Linked DNA regions of Macaca fascicularis. The protein of the gene in region 1 interacts with the protein of each later gene in a pairwise test. Links are inferred from orthologs where the notes say so. Each region holds a gene or a part of one and is shown in the gene's direction. Other genes may lie near its edges.

Region 1 (7,086 bases):
CGCCTGCTCGAGTACTCCCGTCGCTGCTTTCTGGCCCTGGACGACGAGACGCTCAAGAAGGTGCAGGCGCTCAAGAAGAGCAAGCTGCTGCTGCCCATCACCTACCGCTTCAAGCGGTGATCGCACCACGCCTCCGCGCCTCCGCCCGGGCCTTCCTCCCCCGCCGACCCCGGCCCTCCCCAGGCCCCCGGTGGATGACCTGCGCCTCTCCCTGCCGCGCCCCTGCCCCTCCTCCTCACTCCCTGGGTTGGGGGCTCCCTTAGCCCGGCCCCCAAGCGCGACGGCCCAGGGCCGGCCGCAGCCCCTTCCCGAACGCCGGCATCCCCTTCCGCTTGGGCTGCCCAGCCCTGTCCTCGCCGGACCCCTTCCTCCTGGAAATCAACCAGGCAGGAGGGTGCCGCCCCCCTCTCGGGTGGGGGACTGTATAGACCCCGTCTCCGCCCCAGCCCCGCGGAGGAGCTGCCCACCTGATTCCCGGACAGACCTCCCCAACTCCGCGCGAGACAGAGAATTATTCAGAGAATTTAAATTAAAAAACGACGTGAAAATTTGGAATAAACTGGGCCTCAGCCTTTTCCTAGGAGGGGGACGTGCCTGGGAGGGGGAGGCCGTCGCCCCGACGACGGTGATGGGGTTGCTGGGGCTTCCAAGGGGGTGGGCGGTCAGGCGGGAGGCCGGGTAGGACAGGGTGTAATTAGCCCCCCGGAGGCAGAGACGGAGAAACAGCTGTGCCCCTGAAATCTTGGAGGCAGAGCTCTGGAAAAGAAGCGCGGACACAGCCGGGTGCGGTGGCTCACGCCTGTAATCCCAGCGCTTTGGGAGGCCGAGGCAGGCGGATCACGAGTTCAGGAGATCGAGACCGTCCTGGCTAACACAGTGAAACCCTATCTCTACTAAAAATACAAAAAATTAGCCAGGTGTCCCAGCTACTCGGGAGGCTGAGGCAGGAAAATCGCTTGAACCCAGCAGGCGGAGGTTCCAGTGAGCCGAGATCTGGCCACTGCACTCTAGCCTGGGCGATAGAGTCTCCGTCGCAAAAAAAAAAAAAAAAAAAAAGTAAAAAGCGTAAACGCTACCCGCTGGGCTACCCGGACCAGTGAGTGGCGCGAGAGGCGGGACTCGATGACCTCGAGCAGGGGAGGCCACCCAGCGGCCAGGCCAAGTCTGGGGGATTCTTCCGTCCGGCCGCCAGGGGGCAGTAACGCCAGATCATCTGTCTCCCGGAAGGACTGCGCGATCATCCATCTGTTGCGCCTGCGCGACGGGAGGGGCCGGAGCGCGTTGATGCGGTTGCCAAGACAACCAAGAGGGTGGCCGGATTTAACCGTTGGGGATTAAGCACTTTCACTCCAGGAAGGGAAAATCTCGCGCACGCGCAACGGGGACTGAAACCTGGTCCCCGCAACCCCCTTCACCGGAGCAGTGGGAGAGCGCGCCACAGAGACACTTACGCAGGCGCAGAAGCCTGTTTCCCCCTCACCCGCCGCTTCCACCCTGCGCAGGCGCAAAAAGCCGCGCTGGCAACCTCCGCAGCGGTCGCGCGCACCGTTCACCCCTCTTGCTGCTTTTGTCTCGCGCAACCTTCTCAGGCCCTCCGCGAGGCCGGTCCTTTTTTTCTTTCACTTTCCCCACCCGGAGAGCCAGGTGCTGAGAACCGGTACCTCGTCTCCTTCTCTGTATCCCTTCCCCTGACCCACCTCGCCTCCGTCCTCCCTCCCTTTTCCGTTCCCGAAGCCGGAAGGAGCCGAAGCACCCACGAAAAAAGCCGAAGCTGTCCCCGGAGAGTGAGGCCTTCACGAAGCGGTGGCGGAAGGAGCCGAAGTTCTCTGATCTGCGGAGTGAGCAAGTGGCATCTCCGGAAAGAGCCGAAACTTGGACTCGAGCTTAATCCCAGGAGGGGCCCGAGGGCGAGCTCCGGAAATCTCCGGAAAGAGCCGAAGGCCGGGACGGTTAGGATTGTCGGAAGTGGCCGATTGCTTGGACAGGGCCGGCGGAGAAGATCGGAGGAAATCCGTGGAAGCAGCCAAAGACTGGGACGGATTGAATTGTCGGAAGAACCCGAACTCGCAGAGGGGGCTGGGCGCAGTGGAACACGAGGACACACGGAAACCTCCGAACGTTGAGGAGATAATTTTGGAAAAGTTACGGAAACCTGGGAAGTCGGCGAAACCCTACCTTCGGGTGTTTTCGGAAGCAGTCGCAGCTGCCATCTGCGTCTCCTTCGTCCAGTGTCCGGAAATAGCCGACGCGCTTCGGAGCCAGGCTCGGGGGGAGGGGCAAGCTCGCGGGCGGGCGGGCGGGTGAGGGGGCGGAGCCCGGGCGGGTGGGGAGGGCTGCCGGAGGCTTGATTAGGTAGGAGGTGGCGAAGCGCCGGCGGCGGCCGGAAGTAGCCGAAGCCAGCGGCGGAAGTAGCCGAAGCGGCCGGAGCGGGCGGCAAGGCGAGGCGAGAGCTGCACAGGGCCCTACGCGGCCGCCTCAGCATGTCGGACTTCGACGAGTTCGAGCGGCAGCTCAACGAGAATAAACAAGGTGAGGGCGCCGGGGTCGCGGGGCGGAGGTGTGGGCGGCTCCTCGCGTCGCTCTTTGCCCCCCCGCCATTTTCTCCCTCGCTTCCCCCCACCTCTCACGGCCGTGCGACCCCCCCCAACCCCGGTTCCGTGGCGCGCGCCTCGTTCACGTGACATCCCCAGCGTTCGGCCGCGCGCTAGGCGAGGGGAAGGGGGCGGCAGGGCGCGGGCCCATGACGCATGCGCACGGCGGCTGTCCCCGTGCCCCACGTGGTCCTGCCGGAGGTGGCTCGGGGGACGCGGCGCGAGTGCGCCAGGTACCTCGACGTGAACTTTTGTTTTTTAAAATCTTTTTGTATTCTCTGAAAAGGAGATTATGTTAGGCCCCGTAATCCGTTCTTTTTCTCCCGCTGCCTTGGCACTTCCGCTTCCGGTCGGGCCCACGGCCGCGTCTCCACGCCCCCTTTGTTTCCAAAATGGCGGTTGTGAGGACTCGGGGGGGCCCCCCTTTCCCTCCTTCACGTGGATGAGGACAGAGCTGTTTCGGGGGACTCTTGGAGGCCACGAGCCCGTCTCATACCCCTTTTCCTTTTTGCTGATTTGCTGCGACCTCTTCTGCCAGGTGGTTTCTGCCCCGTCTGTTGGTAGTGGGGCGCCTCATATTAACGTGTTGGGCGCATGTTCCCTGAAGCATCTGCATTCTTTGAGTGTCGGCACGCACACATCCTGCATATGCGGAACTTTTGGCGGTCCCGAGAATCGCGATATGGAGTGTTTGAGACAAACCGCAAATCATGTAGGATCCCAAACTCGGGGCACCTGATAATACTCAGCCTCAGATCTCGATGTAGAGATAAGGAAACAGGTTCTGAGGGAGGAAGAGGGATCTGGCCCACTGCGCTAAACTCTTCACTTAACGGGGAAGGTGGGAGGCAGGTTCCTTTCAGGGTATCGAGAATGTGATGGGTGAGAACAAAAAGCGTGGGGCCCTGCTGATCTTAGGGATTCCGAGAATATTAGAAGTGGGAGAGTTGTTCCATGTTTCAGTTTGAGAGTGAAGAAACACAGGACTAGGGAAGGTTGGGGACTTGTTTCATTTCTTTTGAGGCTTCAGCTGCCCATGATCCTAGGTCGTTCGGAGGACGAAATGAGGGCTAAGGAATTTTCCTTTGAACCCAGGGGCTGTATTAGGAAACAGTGCCCTGGGGAAGAAATAACGTTTACTGAGGGTCTGACTCTGTCTTAGGTGATGGACTGTTCAAGAGCATAGGCTTTGGAGTTGAGCACATCAGGGATTTAGATACTTGCTTTGTTGGTTAGTAACTACTTTTAATACGTTTATCTTTCTTTTTTTTTCCTATTTGTAGACTGATTATTATTTTTTCTCACTCGGTTTTGAGAAGATTAGTAAGGATTATAGTAACGATAGGTGTAGTTAAACTCTGAGCGCTTATGTGTGCCAGGCTCTTCGCTAAACTCTTAGCGTGATTTTATTTAGGGGATCCTTGTAACAGCCCTGTGAGGTCAAAATGATTTCCACCTCTACTGGGGAGGAAACTGAGGGCTCAGAAAAATTAAAAACTTTCTCAGGGCTCAGCTAGTCAGAGGCAGAGCTGAGATTAAATGGGGTAACGTAAAGTGTGTGGCATGTGGCTTGGTGTACACTAGGTGTGCAGTAAGCGATATTTGCAATTGTAAAATTCCATGCTTAAAGAGGAGGGTCTTCCACTCACAGAGATTGTGTCACAGTTGGGAAAGGGCAGGAAAAGGTGCTTTCCAAATGTCATTCTGTCACACAACACCTGAGTGGAGTAGATGTGACCCTCGTTTACAGAGAAAAAACCAAGTCTTAAAGGTTAAGTTGTTTTTGCATGGTTTTTGTTGGTAAGCAGAAAAGCAGGTACTGATTCTGAGCTCTGGCTGGCTGCAAGGCCAGGTTCCACTCTGCTGGGCCACCAAGTGGAGCTGATCGGGCCGTTCTTTGAGGCTCTCAGATGGTGCTTCACTGGTTCTCCCGGGGTTTCCCCCTTGGTGCTGATAGGGCCCTCCCTGAGACCTGGCACGGCTCCTGGGTTGCCGGAGCTGCTCCCATAAGATGACCACAATACAGTGTTTTGAGCAAATGAAGCTCTCTTGGTTTTTACCTGTCCAGCATCAGTGTGTGGGAGAGGGTTCTTGTCATAGGGGAAGCTCTGCCCACGTGTCACTCTGCCTGTGGGTCTTTGTGGAGGACGCATCAGCCTCTGTACCTGTCGGCTTCTGCTTCAGTCCCTTCCTCTGCTACCTGTGTCGATAGGGAATTTCCTTGTCTGTGTCCCAGGCACCCAACGGGCGTCATTGCTTTCTCTGCGTGGCTTCCTCTCTGCCTGCTTGCCTGTTTCAGAGCCTTAGCAGCAGGAAGGGCTCTTGGGGCTCACAGCCTGTCCATCTTACAGGCGTGGAGTTGTGCCCAGTGCCGTGCCTGCGTGCTTACCCTGCTGCTCTGCACTGCTGGCCTGTCCTGCCAATTGTTCCTCCCAATTTCAGTTTTTGATTTTGGGGTTTTTGGCCTTCGAGGGGACAATTATATTGTCATTAGTGGTTCTAGCCAGACTTGAGTGTTCTGCCTGATCCACATTCAAGAGTATGACTTGGTGCCTAACTCACTGATGTTTTAGTGTTTACGTTCTGGTATCACCATTTCCTAGCTGTCTGGCCTTGGGCAACTGTGATCTCTCTGAACCTTAGTTTTCTACCCATTAGGTCAGCCCCCCGCAGCGTTTTTCCGAAACAGTAGTGAGGATTAAGAACAAACAAAGCTATTTAGTACAGAAGCATCTCAGTATTTGTTTCTGTTTTTTTCCCTTCTGGGTGCATATTTTTCTGAGTGTTGGTGGTTTTGGAATTGTGATGCTTTTCCAAACATTCAAATTGCATCACAAAAACATAAGACAAAACGCTGTGGGTGAGGCTAAAGTTTAACATCCTCCCTCAGTGCCTTTTCCTCCTCTTGTCCCCAGGGATGATCACTCCAGGAGATGCGTGTTAACATGAGCACCTTAACGTGTGCATCTTTTTTGTGTGAGTGCTTCGTGGCTAGTTGAGAAATCTGGGTGTCTTTGAATTAAGGAAATGGTATGGCGGTGCTCATGAACACCCTCAATGCTCATGCTTTATTCTCCATCTTAAAGGGCCGGTCGTCCTTCTTCAGGGGTTGAAGGGTCTGGTGAGAGCAGAGGTCTCTGTGGTTTTAGCAGCAAGGCTCTGTTTCTAGTGGCTACGTCAGGCAAATGCAGGGTTGAGGGAGCCGGCTGGAGGCTGGCAGAGATGCATGCCCCTACCCTACAGTACAGCCTCTCCAGCGCTTGGCTTTGAAGGGAGTGAGGCCGGGAGAATCAAGTGGTTTGGGATTCAAGTCTGGATGGGGCAAGCTCCTCCCCTGTCCTGCTGAAGGAGAGGAGGGCCTCTTTCCCCTTCAGTCTGCGGATTCTCTGAGGCCCTTCCCTTCCCCTGGGGAAGGGTGCTTGCTTCTGCATTATTCACTGGCTTGGGAAGGGATGGGTTGAGTTTCCCTGCTTCCTGGGGACATCAGATCCTGCCTGGCACCTGACCCCCAGGCCTGATGGTGGGGCTGTGGGTGCCAGCTGGTTGCAGAGGTCTTTCCTGAGGGGTCGCTGGGTCCCTTCAGGAAAACATCATTGGGTCTCTTGATTCCCCAGCCTCTAGCCCTGCCCCTCTCAGGGACGACCCTGGGGTCAGGCCCCTCAGCCCTCGAGGGGACCAGGAGCCAGCCTCCTCTGTCTTCTCTGGCTCCCAGCTCCTCCTGAGCATCCTCAGGTATCTCACACCCCGGGGGCATTTCCAGGCCCCGTCCCCCTGGTCCCCTCGTGGTCCCTGGACTCGCTTGTGGACCCAGGAGGCCTGTTAATTCCCTTCCTCCATTGGATCCCTTCCCTTTGGGGGTGGCCTCCCTGGGGCTGGGGACATAGCCACCAGCGCGCAGGGTGGGCTGGGTCCGCAGCCTTACTCCGCTCATCCCTTGCCCCTCCTCTCACCCTTGCCCAGAGAGGGACAAGGAGAACCGGCATAGGAAGCGCAGCCACAGCCGCTCTCGAAGCCGGGACCGCAAACGCCGGAGCCGGAGCCGTGACCGGCGCAACCGGGACCAGCGGAGCGCCTCCCGGGACAGGCGGCGACGAAGGTACTAGGACTCAGGGATCCTCCTGGGGCAGCCTGGGAGTCGGGGGGTTGGTGTTGGCCGTCCTGTGGGTGGCCTGTGCGTGTCTGTCTGGGCCCGGGCCCTGTGTGGCTCGTTTGTTCTTCGTATGCATCTGGGGGAGGGATCTACTGCTTGGTCTGTCTTGAATTCCGATTTTTTTCCCCTCTTTCTGGGGTTTCTTTCATTTTCTCTTGGTGGTTGCTGGTGGGTTGCTGGGGGCAGTAGGTTCTTTATCTGGAGCCTGGGAATTGATTCTGTGTTTTCCTTCACAAGGGGCTGTTCTCTGTCTCTGACTCTGAGGGCCTGTTCCTTCTTTTCGACTCTCTGTGGCTCTCTGTGGGACTCTCTTCGAGGGGGTTGGTCTCTGCCTCCAGTTTCTTT
Region 2 (5,274 bases), on another chromosome or scaffold:
TGGTAAACCTTCATAGTCCCTCTTTCATTATCCTTCTCAAAACCCCCCAACTCCCAAATTAGAAAATTAATTAAATACTTATTACCAAATCCAAGCTACATATATGCTGTTACTTATATCTGAACAGGATTTTTTTTTTTCATATTAAGTAAACCAAATTATAAACCAAATTAGGATCAAGTGGTGGGCACTTTACATTTTTCTGCTGTTTTGCATTGTTTATGGGGGGTGTATGGGGCGGTGGGAATTAGTGATTAAGTACTATGATGAAGTTTTTATTGTCTTGTTCAGACAAACACTAGATAAAGCTGTTCATTATCCATTACCATCTGTGTTTCATTTTCATGAATTTATCATGCTGAAAAGAAAGGAGAAGTGCCTCTGTGAGACATAGAAAATTTGAATAATTTGCAAACATTGTGTTGCTTATAATTTTATGACTGCCTTTAAAAAATTTTAGAATCCTAGGCGGGCACGGTGGCTCACACCTGTTATCCCAGCACGTTGGGAGGCCAAGGCAGGTGGATCAGTTGAAGTCAGGAGTTCGTGACCAGCTTGGCCAACATGGTGAAACCCCATCTCTACCAAAAATACAAAAATTAGGCCAGGCACAGTGGCTCACACCTGTAATCCCAGCACTTTGGGAGGCCAAGGTGGACGGATCACGAGCTCAGGATCAGCCTGGCCAACATGGTGAAACCCTGCCTCTACTAAAAATACAAAAATTAGCTGGGTGTGGTGGCGGGCACCTGTAATCCCAGCTACTCAGGAAGCTGAGGCTGGAGAATTGCTTGAACTCAGGAGGTGGAGGGTGCAGTGAGCTGAGATCGTGCCACTGCACTCCAGCCTGGGTGACAGAGCAAGACTCTGTCTTGAAAAAAATATATATACAAAAATTAGCCAGGCGTGGTGATGCATGCCTGTAATCCCAGCTACTTGGAGGCTGAGGCTTGAGAATCACTTGAACCAGTAGTCAGAGATTGCATTGAGCCAAGATTGCGCCACTGAACTCTAGCGTGGGAGAGAGTGAGACTTCGTCTCAAAATAAATAAATAAATAAATAAATAAATAAATAAATAAATAAATAAATAAATAAAAGTAGAATCCTGACAGTACGATAGAGTTGAAAGAATAGGGAAATTGGATTTTAGTATTTTGTATCTTAATCTTTTTCTCCTATCAACTTACTACAAGCCATTTGATTTTACTGCCTTATTTTTTCCAATCTTTAAAGTGGGGGCACTTATTTTCATTAATATTCCTGAAGATCCTTGCAGGAAAGATACAGTTCTTTAAAAGCTCTTCTCCTCCTTGTTTTTAGTGTTGCTGTCAGAATGTTACAATCCATATATATAATTTAAAACTCATCTTGACATATCTAAATAAGGCCCTGTTTAAGAGTGTTAATCATTTTTCTTTAAAGGGCCCTTTAGATATAATTACCTGAAATATGCATTTTTCTTTAGTACTAAGGTTGGTTTGCTTTGTGTTTTTTAATGTTATTTCTAATACATCACTAAAAGACTTCTATTGAGTACAAGTAATTCATTAACTGATGATAACTCTTTAACACAGGGTATTCCTAGTTCTTCTCATGTAAGTAATAACATGAGTACACCAGTTTTGCCTGCTCCAACAGCAGCCCCAGGAAATACGGGAACGGTTCAGGGACCAAGTTCTGGTAATACTTCGTCATCAAGTCACAGCAAAGCCTCTATTGCTGCTGTAAAATTGGCAGAAAGCAAAGTAAGTGTTACAGTGGAAGCCAGCGCAGATAGCTCGAAGACAGACAAGGCAAGTTCAAGGTTGAGAGCAACCTCCATAATTCTGTATATGATAAAGGTGAAAAATATCAGCTTTTTATTGTATGAGTGGTGAAGGGAATTTCTTATTGGCAGTCTAAATGCCAATATTATTTGAAGGATTCTCTCTAGATGAGTTGATGTCCAGTAAATTACTGGTAATACTTGACAATTGTTTTTAGAAATGTTTGATATGTTTTAGTAAATAAACTGTTTTGTATTTGTCACGTTAATAGTTGGAGAGTCTCTTATTGTAAATGTGAAGTATTTTCAATTTCTTGTTTGAAATTTCGTGAGAGCATATGACTGGTTAATAATAAATTATACATTTTCTTCTCATCAGAAATTGCAAATTCAAGAAAAAGCAGCACAAGAGGTAAAATTGGCCATTAAGCCATTTTACCAAAATAAAGATATCACCAAGGAAGAATATAAAGAAATTGTACGGAAAGCAGTAGATAAAGTAAGTTATGCCTTTAGTGGAGTATGTGCACATTGTTTTGAACCACCTCTGTTTTAATAAATGAATGCTGAAGTTTAATTAAAATAATAAAAGCTAGCTCCTACTAATTCCTGTCTACTTTTTTGCCTTTTGACTAGTTTGTATGAGATAATGAAACATGAAAATAAGTCTGGTTATCTCTTTGGGGTTGTTTTTCACAAAGCTTTCTATTTTGGCTTTAATCCCTTTAAGCATGAAAAAAGTTTACCCTCCACCCCTTTTTTCTTAGGTTTGTCATAGTAAGAGTGGAGAAGTAAATTCTACTAAAGTGGCAAATCTGGTTAAAGCCTATGTAGACAAATACAAATATTCACGGAAGGGGAGCCAAAAGAAAACTCTGGAAGAACCTGTGTCTACTGAAAAAAACATAGGCTGAAATGGGGAACGCTGTCAAAGACATTATCAGGATATCTGCAAAGTGCAATTTCAACATGTACCATTAACTGAAAATCATACATAACTGTGATTGAAATTTGGTTTTGATAAAATTATTTTTTTAACATAGGATATGATGTTTTGTTCTAAATAAATATAGGTCTGCACTGCAACTTCTGTATCCTTCCTTCCCCTCCAACCTCCCCCACAAAATTCAAGGGAAAGTAAAGTGTTGAAAGGAATGTGCATCTTTACTAGGACTGTGTTATAGTGTGGATACTGAAAGATGTATAGCTTTTTGATTAGAGCAATGGAGTGCATAAATTAGAAACTTCTAAGTGCACTGGTTTTCAAAGAGATATATATATAAAATGCATTTATTCTGTCAGGTTAAAATATAAAGTATGATCTTTATGATTGATTTTTTCCCTCTAATTATAGAAAGTTAAATAATGTATTACCATGAAAAATGTTTCTAATATTAAATAGAACATATCAGTTGCAGAGTTCCTAATGTGTATTTTTAAAGCACATATCTGAATAAATTGCCTAGATAGAAAAAAATTATCACATGAGTAAAATTTAGTGTTCAAAACATTGAGACACTCTTCACCTATTGTATGACCAAATAAAGGTTATGCTGCTTGTTTTTCTTTTGTGCCTTTTTTTACTCTGAATTGAGATAAGCAGTTTGACTTACTAGATTACAACTTTGGCAGTTCAAAGTCTTTGTTGAAGACTTTGAAGAAAAAGATTTGGAAAAATTGTTGACTTTTGGCCGGGCATGATGGCTCACGCCTATAATCCCAGCATTTTGGGAGGCCGAGGCGGGTGGATCACCTGAGGTTAGATCATCGAGACCAGCCTGGCTAACATGGTGAAACCCCGTCTCTACTAAAAATACAAAAATTAGCCAGGCGTGTTGGTGCATGCCTGTAATCCCAGCTATTCGGGAGGCTGAGGCAGGAGAATCAGTTGAACCCAGGAGGCAGAAGTTGCAGTGAGCCGAGACCGTGCCATTGCACTTCAGCCTGGGCAACAGGAGCAAATCTCCGTCTCAAAAAAAAAAAAAAAGTGTTGACTTTGTAGAAATTATGTTCTTTCGTAGTATCTTCTTCTACCCATTGCAGATGATAAATTATTTGTGCCAATTTGAGAATTGCTATTAAGCTGTTATCCTCCCTTCCTTGGGACTAAGAATTACAAGACTCATGGCACTGGCATAAAGTCGTTGTTTAATCACTGATGAAATTATTTTCACACTTGTTACAATGAATGAAGTGTTAATTTGGTGATCAGGTGGTAGCCATTAGCCATGTTGCAGAATTCTAAAATTCTAGCCAATGAAACCTGTGTTTTAGAAATGCAGAGGAAAATTGAATAATGGAGTCTTGGTTAGCCTTTCAGGGACTAGGGATTTGTTTTTTTGTTTTGTTTTTTTTGTTTGTTTGTTTTCCTCTTTTTAGTACTAGAATATCTCAGTTTTTATAAAAGGTAAGTTTAAAATGTTTATCGTGCCATTATTTTAACTGGCATCTTGAAAGAACAATGCGTTTTCTCCATGATAAACTCTGATTCCAGTAGGAATTTTCAGTACATACCAAGTACCTGGAAAGTTCTTCAGATAAGTTAATGGATCCAAGGAGATACATGCCTCCATGAGATAAACTGACCCTTTTACTAGCTAAACTAGCCAGAGCAATACTCTGTAGAACTGTGCTTTTCTAAAGTAAGGATTATCTGTTTCTCAATTTTACGTGCATAATACTTTTCCTGGTGCTAGCTTTGATAGGCAAAATATCTTGAAATGTTGGCCCCATAATGATTGTGCTAGTTCATAAGCTTTGTTAAGTTATGAGTTTAATCATAAAAATATTTCCAAGCAGTTTTTGACCTTCATTCTACATTTCTGGGCATTTGTAATATGGTATTCTACTGGTATATATTTTTAAAGTTTGCATTTAGATTATGATAAAGAAATTTCAAGTGTATTTCTTCTAATAAAGTATTAAGACAGTGTTTCAGAATATCAAGGCACACCTCCTTAGTTGTTTTAGGTTAGAACTCTACAAACAATTTTGTGAATGTTCAAAGTATTTTGAGTTAAGGCTAGTTCATACTTTGAAATTTTTGCAGCAAATTGCTGTGTCTAAGTTGATTAATCACACAATACATACTTTTCCTGCATTTTCTTTCAGTGACATTTGAGAATTGGGTGACATTTTAAAATGTGCTTTATACCATTTAGCTTTTGCAAACAAGTTCTAAAGTTTTGGAGCAAAAGTGGTGTGGTCAAGAGTTGAAGTCTCATATATCTTTAGTAGCACTCCCATGAATTATTTCCATGACAATAACAAGTGTGTGTTCCATATCTGATTGGGGCACTGGTTAGACTGCATTAATAGCTAATGAAGAGTGTTATTTGATTAGAATTCAAACTTTTAAAATTTTGAAATGTTTAAGAATGTATTAGAAAATGCATGCTTTATGTTGAAAAAATACATTGCTTTAACATTCCTCATTCTTTAAGAAATTTATGTTAATTTTGCATGGGCACAAACTTAATCAGAAACATTTTGTGGAGTTACATTTCCT
Region 3 (6,288 bases), about 16 Mb from region 1:
CAGTGGGCTATGATTGCACCACTGCACTACAGCCTGGGCAGAGCAAGAACCTATCTGAAAAAAGGAAAAAAAAAAAACTCAGTTATTGAAATGGGAAAGACCCTCTCACGTTCTCAAGTAAATTATCACCTTTATTGAATCTCATTTTCTACATGTAAAAACTGAGCAAAATCATAATACCTTTTTTGCATGGATGTTGGGTGAGATTAAATTAGCTAAACCTTGCAGTATTTCTTTTTTATGTTAACTGGCAGCTAGTAAGGGCTGGATAAATGTTAGCTCTTATCACTTCAAGAAAATTGTCAGGAGAACCGAAGGAGCTTACTGGGATTCAGTTTGAGGTCACCAGTGAAGTTGCTCTTGAAGAAAGCAAAACCAGCAGCCGGGGCACTGGCTCACGCCTGTCATCCCAGCACTTTGGGAGGCTGAGGTGGGAGATCGTGTGAGGTCAGGAGTTCAAGACCAGCCTGGCCAAGATGGTGAAACCCCGTGTCTACTAAAAATACTTTGGGAGGCTGAGGTGGGAGATCGTGTGAGGTCAGGAGTTCAAGACCAGCCTGGCCAAGATGGTGAAACCCCGTGTCTACTAAAAATCAGCTGGGTGTGGCGGCGCACATCTATAGTCCCAGCTACTTGGGAGGCTGAGGCAGGAGAATCACTTGAACCCTGGGAAGCAGAGGTTGCAGTGAGCTGAGACTGCACCACTGTACTCCAGCCTGGGTGATAGAGACTCTCAAAAAAAGATAAAATAAAATAAAACAAAACCAGGAATGTAAATTTTGCATATGCTTTTAGAGTGTGGTGCCTAACCATTATTGGGCAGTGCTGGGGACACACTGGTGACATAGAACGCTGGTTCTTTTTTTTTTTTTTTTTTTTTTTTTGAGACAGAGTCTCGCTCTGCCGCCCAGGCTGGAGTACAGTGGCCAGATCTCAGCTCACTGCAAGCTCCACCTCCCGGGTTCACGCCATTCTCCTGCCTCAGCCTCCTGAGTAGCTGGGACTACAGGCGCCCGCCACTGCGCCCGGCTAATTTTTTGTATTTTTAGTAGAGACGGGGTTTCACCGTGTTAGCCAGGATGGTCTCGATCTCCTGACCTCGTGATCCACCCGTCTCGGCCTCCCAAAGTGCTGGGATTACAGGCTTGAGCCACCGCGCCCGGCTTTTTTTTTTTTTTTTTTAAATGAGGTGGAGTGTCGCTGTGTTGCATAGGCTGGAATGCAGTGGCGCAATCTCAGTTTACTGCAACCTCCGCCTGCCGGATTCAAGCAGTTCTCTGCCTCAGCCTCCTGAGTAGCTGGGATTCCAGGCACCTGCCACCATGCCCAGCTAATTTTTGTATTTTTAGCAGAGACAGGGTTTCACCATCTTGGCTACGCTGGTCTCGAACTCCTGACCTTGTGATCCACCTGCCTCGGCCTCCCAAAGTGCTGGGATTATAGGCGTGAGCCACCGCGCCCGGCCGGAACCCTGGTTCTTTAGGACAGTGACAGCCCAGAGTAGTCAGGGCCATCATGCAGGAAGCTTAGGCAGAGTGTTGAGGGCTGAGATTGGGACCTTAGAAAGACAGAGGGATCCATTCAGCTTCCTGGCAAAGGAGACATTTTGGAGAGCCTGCCAGGTAGAGGAAGCAGTATTTATGTTACATTGAGGGAGAAGAGTGTTATTAACTTGGGCCAGCTTGTGTAGATGTTTAGGGGTAAAAGAGCCTGGCACATTCTGGGTATTACAAGTAGTTTTGTGGGCCTGAGGCCTAGAGGCCTGTAAATCATGGAGAAGCTTCCAGCGAGCTGTGCACTGGTGGCTCCTGGCTATGAGGCTCGTGGCTATGAGGTGTCAGACTTTGCCCTGAGGGTGTTGGGGAGCCAGCTTGCTTCCCTGTCCTGGTTGCCTCCTCATCTATCCTTCCAGCGGTGGAGGGTAAATGCGAATGGGCAAGAGGAGGCTGGAGAGTAGAGAGAGGCCCAGAGTCCAGTGGAATGAGTGAAGTCTGAATGAGATTCATGGGGATGGAGTATGGAGAAGAAAACCAGAAATGTTACCCCCAGGAGAATTTTTGACTAATTGTTTAAAAACAAGTTTGACTGCTGTCCCTGCCCCCACCCAGCCTGCACACATTTTCTTGCTTCTTTCCTAGTCTAGTATCTATTTTACCAAGTGGCTTCTGCTTCAGCTCAACATATTTTTTTGAGACGGACGTTCGATCTGTTGCCCAGGCTGGAGTGCAGCGGCATAATCTCTGCTCACTGCAACTTTTGCCTCCCTGGTTCAAGCTATTCTCCTGCCTCAGCCTCCCAAGTAGCTGGGATTACAGGCGCACTCCACCACGACTAGCTAATTTTTTCTTTCTTTCTTTTTTTTTTTTTGGCCTTTTTAGTCGAGATGGAGTTTCACCGTCTTGGCCAGGCTGGTCTTGAACTCCTGACCTCAAGTGATCTGCCTCAGCCTCCCAAAGTGCTGGAATTACAGGCATGAGCCACCATGCCACGCCAGTTTTTATGAAAGTTGGAGTCCAGTGGCAGGATCTGCCTCCCAGGCTAGAGTGATCCTCCCACTTCAGCCTCCCAAGTAGCTGTGACCATAAGGCACGCGTCACCATGCGTGGCTAATTTTTGTATCTTTTGTAGAGACAGGGTTTCACCATATTGCCCAGGCTGGTCTTGAACTCTTGAGCGCAAAGGATCTGCCCACCTCGGCCTCCCAAAGTGCCGGGATTACAGGTGTGAGCCACCATGCTTGGCCATCTCAGCCATCTACTTTGCATAAGACATTGGTACCCTTTGTAGACCTGAGTGATGAGAGGGAGTCCATCCTTGTTGACCTTGAATCCCACTTGCTGTCAAGTGATGCCCTTTGCTGGTGAGATGTGGTGGTACCGGATTCAGATGGAATTCGTGGACTGGGCTCTGCCATGCCCTTGTGCCCTCCAGATTGTTGTACTGGTCCAGTGAGGAATCCTCTGAGAACCTGTTTCCATTTGAGTAAAACTGGGACAGTCATAGTTGCCACTTAATGGGGTTGCTGTGAGGAAGTTACCTCTATAAAGCATTTGATGGGGGTGCGATGGCTCATGCCTATAGTCCCAGCACTTTGGGAAGCCAAGGCAGGAGGATCACTGGAGCCCAGGAGTTCAAGACCAACCTGGGCAACATAGGAGATTGTATCTACAAAAAAATAAAAAATTAGCCATGCGTCGTGTTGCGTGCCTGTAGTCCCAGCTCCTTGGGAGGCTGAGGTGAGAAGATTGCTTGAGCCTAGGAGGTCGAGCCTGCAGTAAGCTATTATGCCACTGAACTCCAGCCTGAGCAACAGAAGGAGACCCTGTCTAAAAAAAGCACTTGATGGTATCTGTAGTCAAATGTTTGTAGCCAAGTGTGGTGGCACACTCCTGTAATCCCAGCACTTTGGGAGGCCAAGGTGGGCTAATTCCTTAAGCTCAGGAGTTCAAGACCAGCCTGGGCAACATAGCAAGACCCTGTCTCTGCACAAAATCCAGAAGTTAGCTGGGCATGGTGGCATATACCTGTGGTCCCAGCTACTCAGGAGGCTGAGGTGGGAGGATCGCTTGAGTCTGGGAGTTTGAGGCTACAGTGAATCATGATCATGCCACTGCACTCCAGCATGGGTGACAAAGTGAGACCTTGTTGCCAAATAAAAAAAAATAAATATGTGTGATGGAGTCTGTGCCAGGCATGGAGATACTGCAGTAAACAAATGGGACAGGCTTATTGCTCCTCAGGTAAGATAGACAAGTTAACGTACCATGACAGGAGGCGGGAAATAGTCATGAAAGAAAAGGAAGTAGAGTAAGAATGACATGGGAAGACATTTAGACATGGTGGTCAGAGGTGGCAACGTTTCCTCTGAGACTTGGGTGACTAGAAGGTGGCCGCCATGTAAACCTCAGGGGAGGGATGTTCCAGGTAAAGGGAGCAGCCAGTGCAAAGGCCCTGGGGCAGAATTGTTGTGTCAGACCTAGGGGCCAGTGTGGTTGGGGACTCAGGAGCATAGTGGAATGTGGGCAGGAATGAGTTGGGGGAAATCTGCCAGGGCCACGTCATGCAGGCCTGTGTCAGGGTGCTGGTGGCAATGAAAAGAATCACTCATATTTACTGAGCGTTTACTATGTACCGGATGCTGTCCTGAGCACTTTGCATGTATGTGCACATGTTCGTTATATAGCAGCTCTCTGTAAGCACATCTTACAGAAGAGTGTACTTGGCTGCTTGAGTGGTTCCTGGCCGCTTCTGTGATTGTTAGGTCTTGAGAGATTATGGACCCGAGGCATTCTGGGTAGCCCGTCAATTGGCTGATGGTCTTCTATCTGGGCTGCGCTTCTTCTAACAAGGGGAGCTCAGAGGTCTTTTCTTTCCCCACTGCAGAGCTAAAAAAGTCCCTGTACGCCATCTTCTCCCAGTTTGGCCAGATCCTGGATATCCTGGTATCACGGAGCCTAAAGATGAGGGGCCAGGCCTTTGTCATCTTCAAGGAGGTCAGCAGCGCCACCAACGCCCTGCGCTCCATGCAGGGTTTCCCCTTCTATGACAAGCCCATGGTGAGCATTGTGGGTATGGAGGCTGTGTGGGTGTGTGAAATGTTATAGGAGACTGGGCGGGCCTGGATTAGAGGAGGGGATATTAGGGTTCATTCACCAAGGTGAGACTGGACCAGGCTCCCACTGCACCTTGCCTCCTTTAAAAATTTTTTTGGCGGAGTGCGGTGGCTCATGCCTGTAATCCCAGCACTTTCGGAGGCCGAGGCAGGCAGTTTACCTGAGCTCAGGAGTTTGCGACTAGCCTGGGCAACACTGTGAAACCCCGTCTACTAAAATACAAAAATTAGCTGGGCGTGGCAGCATGCGCCTGTAGTCCCAGCTACTCGGGAGGCTGAGGAAGGAGAATTGCTTGAACCTGGGAGGCAGAGGTTGCAGTGAGCCGAGATCCTGCCACTGCTCTCCAGCCTGGGTGACAGAGTGAGACTGTCTCAAAATACGTATATATATGTATATTTGGCTGGACATGGTGGCTCATGCCTGTAATCCCAGCACTTTGGGAGGCTGAGGCCAGTGGATTACCTGAGGTCAGGAGTTCGAGACCAGCCTGGCCAACATGGCGAAACCCTGTCTCTACAAAAATACAAAAATCAGCTGGGCATGATGGCTGGCACCTGTAATCCCAGCTACTTGGGAGGCTGAGGCAGGAGAATTGCTTGAACCCGAGAGGCGGAGGTTGCAGTGAGCCAATATCGCACCACTGCACTCCAGCCTGGGTGACAGAGCAGGACTATATCTCAAAAAATAAAAATAAATTTAAAGAAATCTTAAAAAAATTTTTTTTAATTTATTTTATTTATTTATTTATTTTTGATGAGATAGACGATGCTATCTCCCCTGGAAACGCTGATTTTTGTATTTTTAGTAGAGATAGGGTTTCGCCATGTTGCCCAGGCTGGTCTCGAACTCCTGAGCTCCAGTGATCTGCCGGCCTCAACCTCCCAAAGTGCTAGGATTACAGGCGTGAGCTACTGTGCCACACTAAGAATGTTTAACATACCTTCCCCTACTGAATAAGCACCGTGAAAGAGGGGTTTTTGTCTATTTTTTTCATTGCTTTATTCCCAGAGCCTCGAATTGTGCCTGGCATCTGGCAGGTTCTTCTTTTTTTTTTTTTTTTTGAGACAGAGTCTTGCTCTGTCGCCCAGGCTGGAGCGCAGTGGCCGGATCTCGGCTCACTGCAAGCTCCGCCTCCCGGGTTTATGCCATTCTCCTGCCTCAGCCTCCCGAGTAGCTGGGACTACAGGCGCCCGCCACCTCGCCCGGCTAGTTTTTTTTTTTTTTTTTTTTTGTATTTTTTAGTAGAGACGGGGTTTCACTGTGTTAGCCAGGATGGTCTCGATCTCCTGACCTCGTGATCCGCCCGTCTCGGCCTCCCAAAGTGCTGGGATTACAGGCTTGAGCCACCGCGCCCGGCCTGGCAGGTTCTTCTTAAACAGCTAAGTGAATGAGATTGAACCTGGAAGACTGAGGTGTATTCTTGTGTGATAGGAAATCCCCGTGCACTGCACTCCTCTCCTAGCATTGTCTCCTCGGGCTTTTGGCCTGACGTTTATTGCTGTTCCAGCTTCCCTTGAAAATACCAACAGCCTTTCTACTGAACACTTACTTACTGTGTGTCAGGTACTGTTCCAAGCACTTTAACTCATTTAGTCCTCATAACAGTCCTTTGAAGTGGGAGGTATCATAATCCCCGTTTTTCAGACAAGGAGGTTAAGGCCAAGATATTTATATT

Evidence for each region.
Region 2: the proteins of U2AF2 (region 1) and SCAF11 interact in binary tests that used the Homo sapiens proteins (3 or more experiments, as listed by UniProt). The link is inferred for Macaca fascicularis from reciprocal best matches to the Homo sapiens genes U2AF2 and SCAF11.
Region 3: the proteins of U2AF2 (region 1) and SNRPA interact in binary tests that used the Homo sapiens proteins (3 or more experiments, as listed by UniProt). The link is inferred for Macaca fascicularis from reciprocal best matches to the Homo sapiens genes U2AF2 and SNRPA.

What each region holds. Positions count from the first base shown.
Region 1 is NC_088393.1:63,607,613-63,614,698, forward strand, and holds the start of U2AF2 (splicing factor U2AF 65 kDa subunit), read left to right. Parts: upstream 1-2,404; 5' UTR 2,405-2,480; coding exon 2,481-2,529; intron 2,530-6,205; exon of another isoform or gene 6,206-6,323; intron 6,324-6,551; coding exon 6,552-6,687; intron 6,688-7,086. Other genes in the region: CCDC106 (coiled-coil domain-containing protein 106), read left to right, coding at 1-120. UniProt on the Homo sapiens protein: Plays a role in pre-mRNA splicing and 3'-end processing. By recruiting PRPF19 and the PRP19C/Prp19 complex/NTC/Nineteen complex to the RNA polymerase II C-terminal domain (CTD), and thereby pre-mRNA, may couple transcription to splicing.
Region 2 is NC_088385.1:52,619,217-52,624,490, reverse strand, and holds part of SCAF11 (protein SCAF11), read left to right. Parts: intron 1-1,575; coding exon 1,576-1,794; intron 1,795-2,145; coding exon 2,146-2,265; intron 2,266-2,533; coding exon 2,534-2,680; 3' UTR 2,681-5,274. UniProt on the Homo sapiens protein: Plays a role in pre-mRNA alternative splicing by regulating spliceosome assembly.
Region 3 is NC_088393.1:47,867,675-47,873,962, forward strand, and holds part of SNRPA (U1 small nuclear ribonucleoprotein A), read left to right. Parts: intron 1-4,383; coding exon 4,384-4,556; intron 4,557-6,288. UniProt on the Homo sapiens protein: Component of the spliceosomal U1 snRNP, which is essential for recognition of the pre-mRNA 5' splice-site and the subsequent assembly of the spliceosome. U1 snRNP is the first snRNP to interact with pre-mRNA.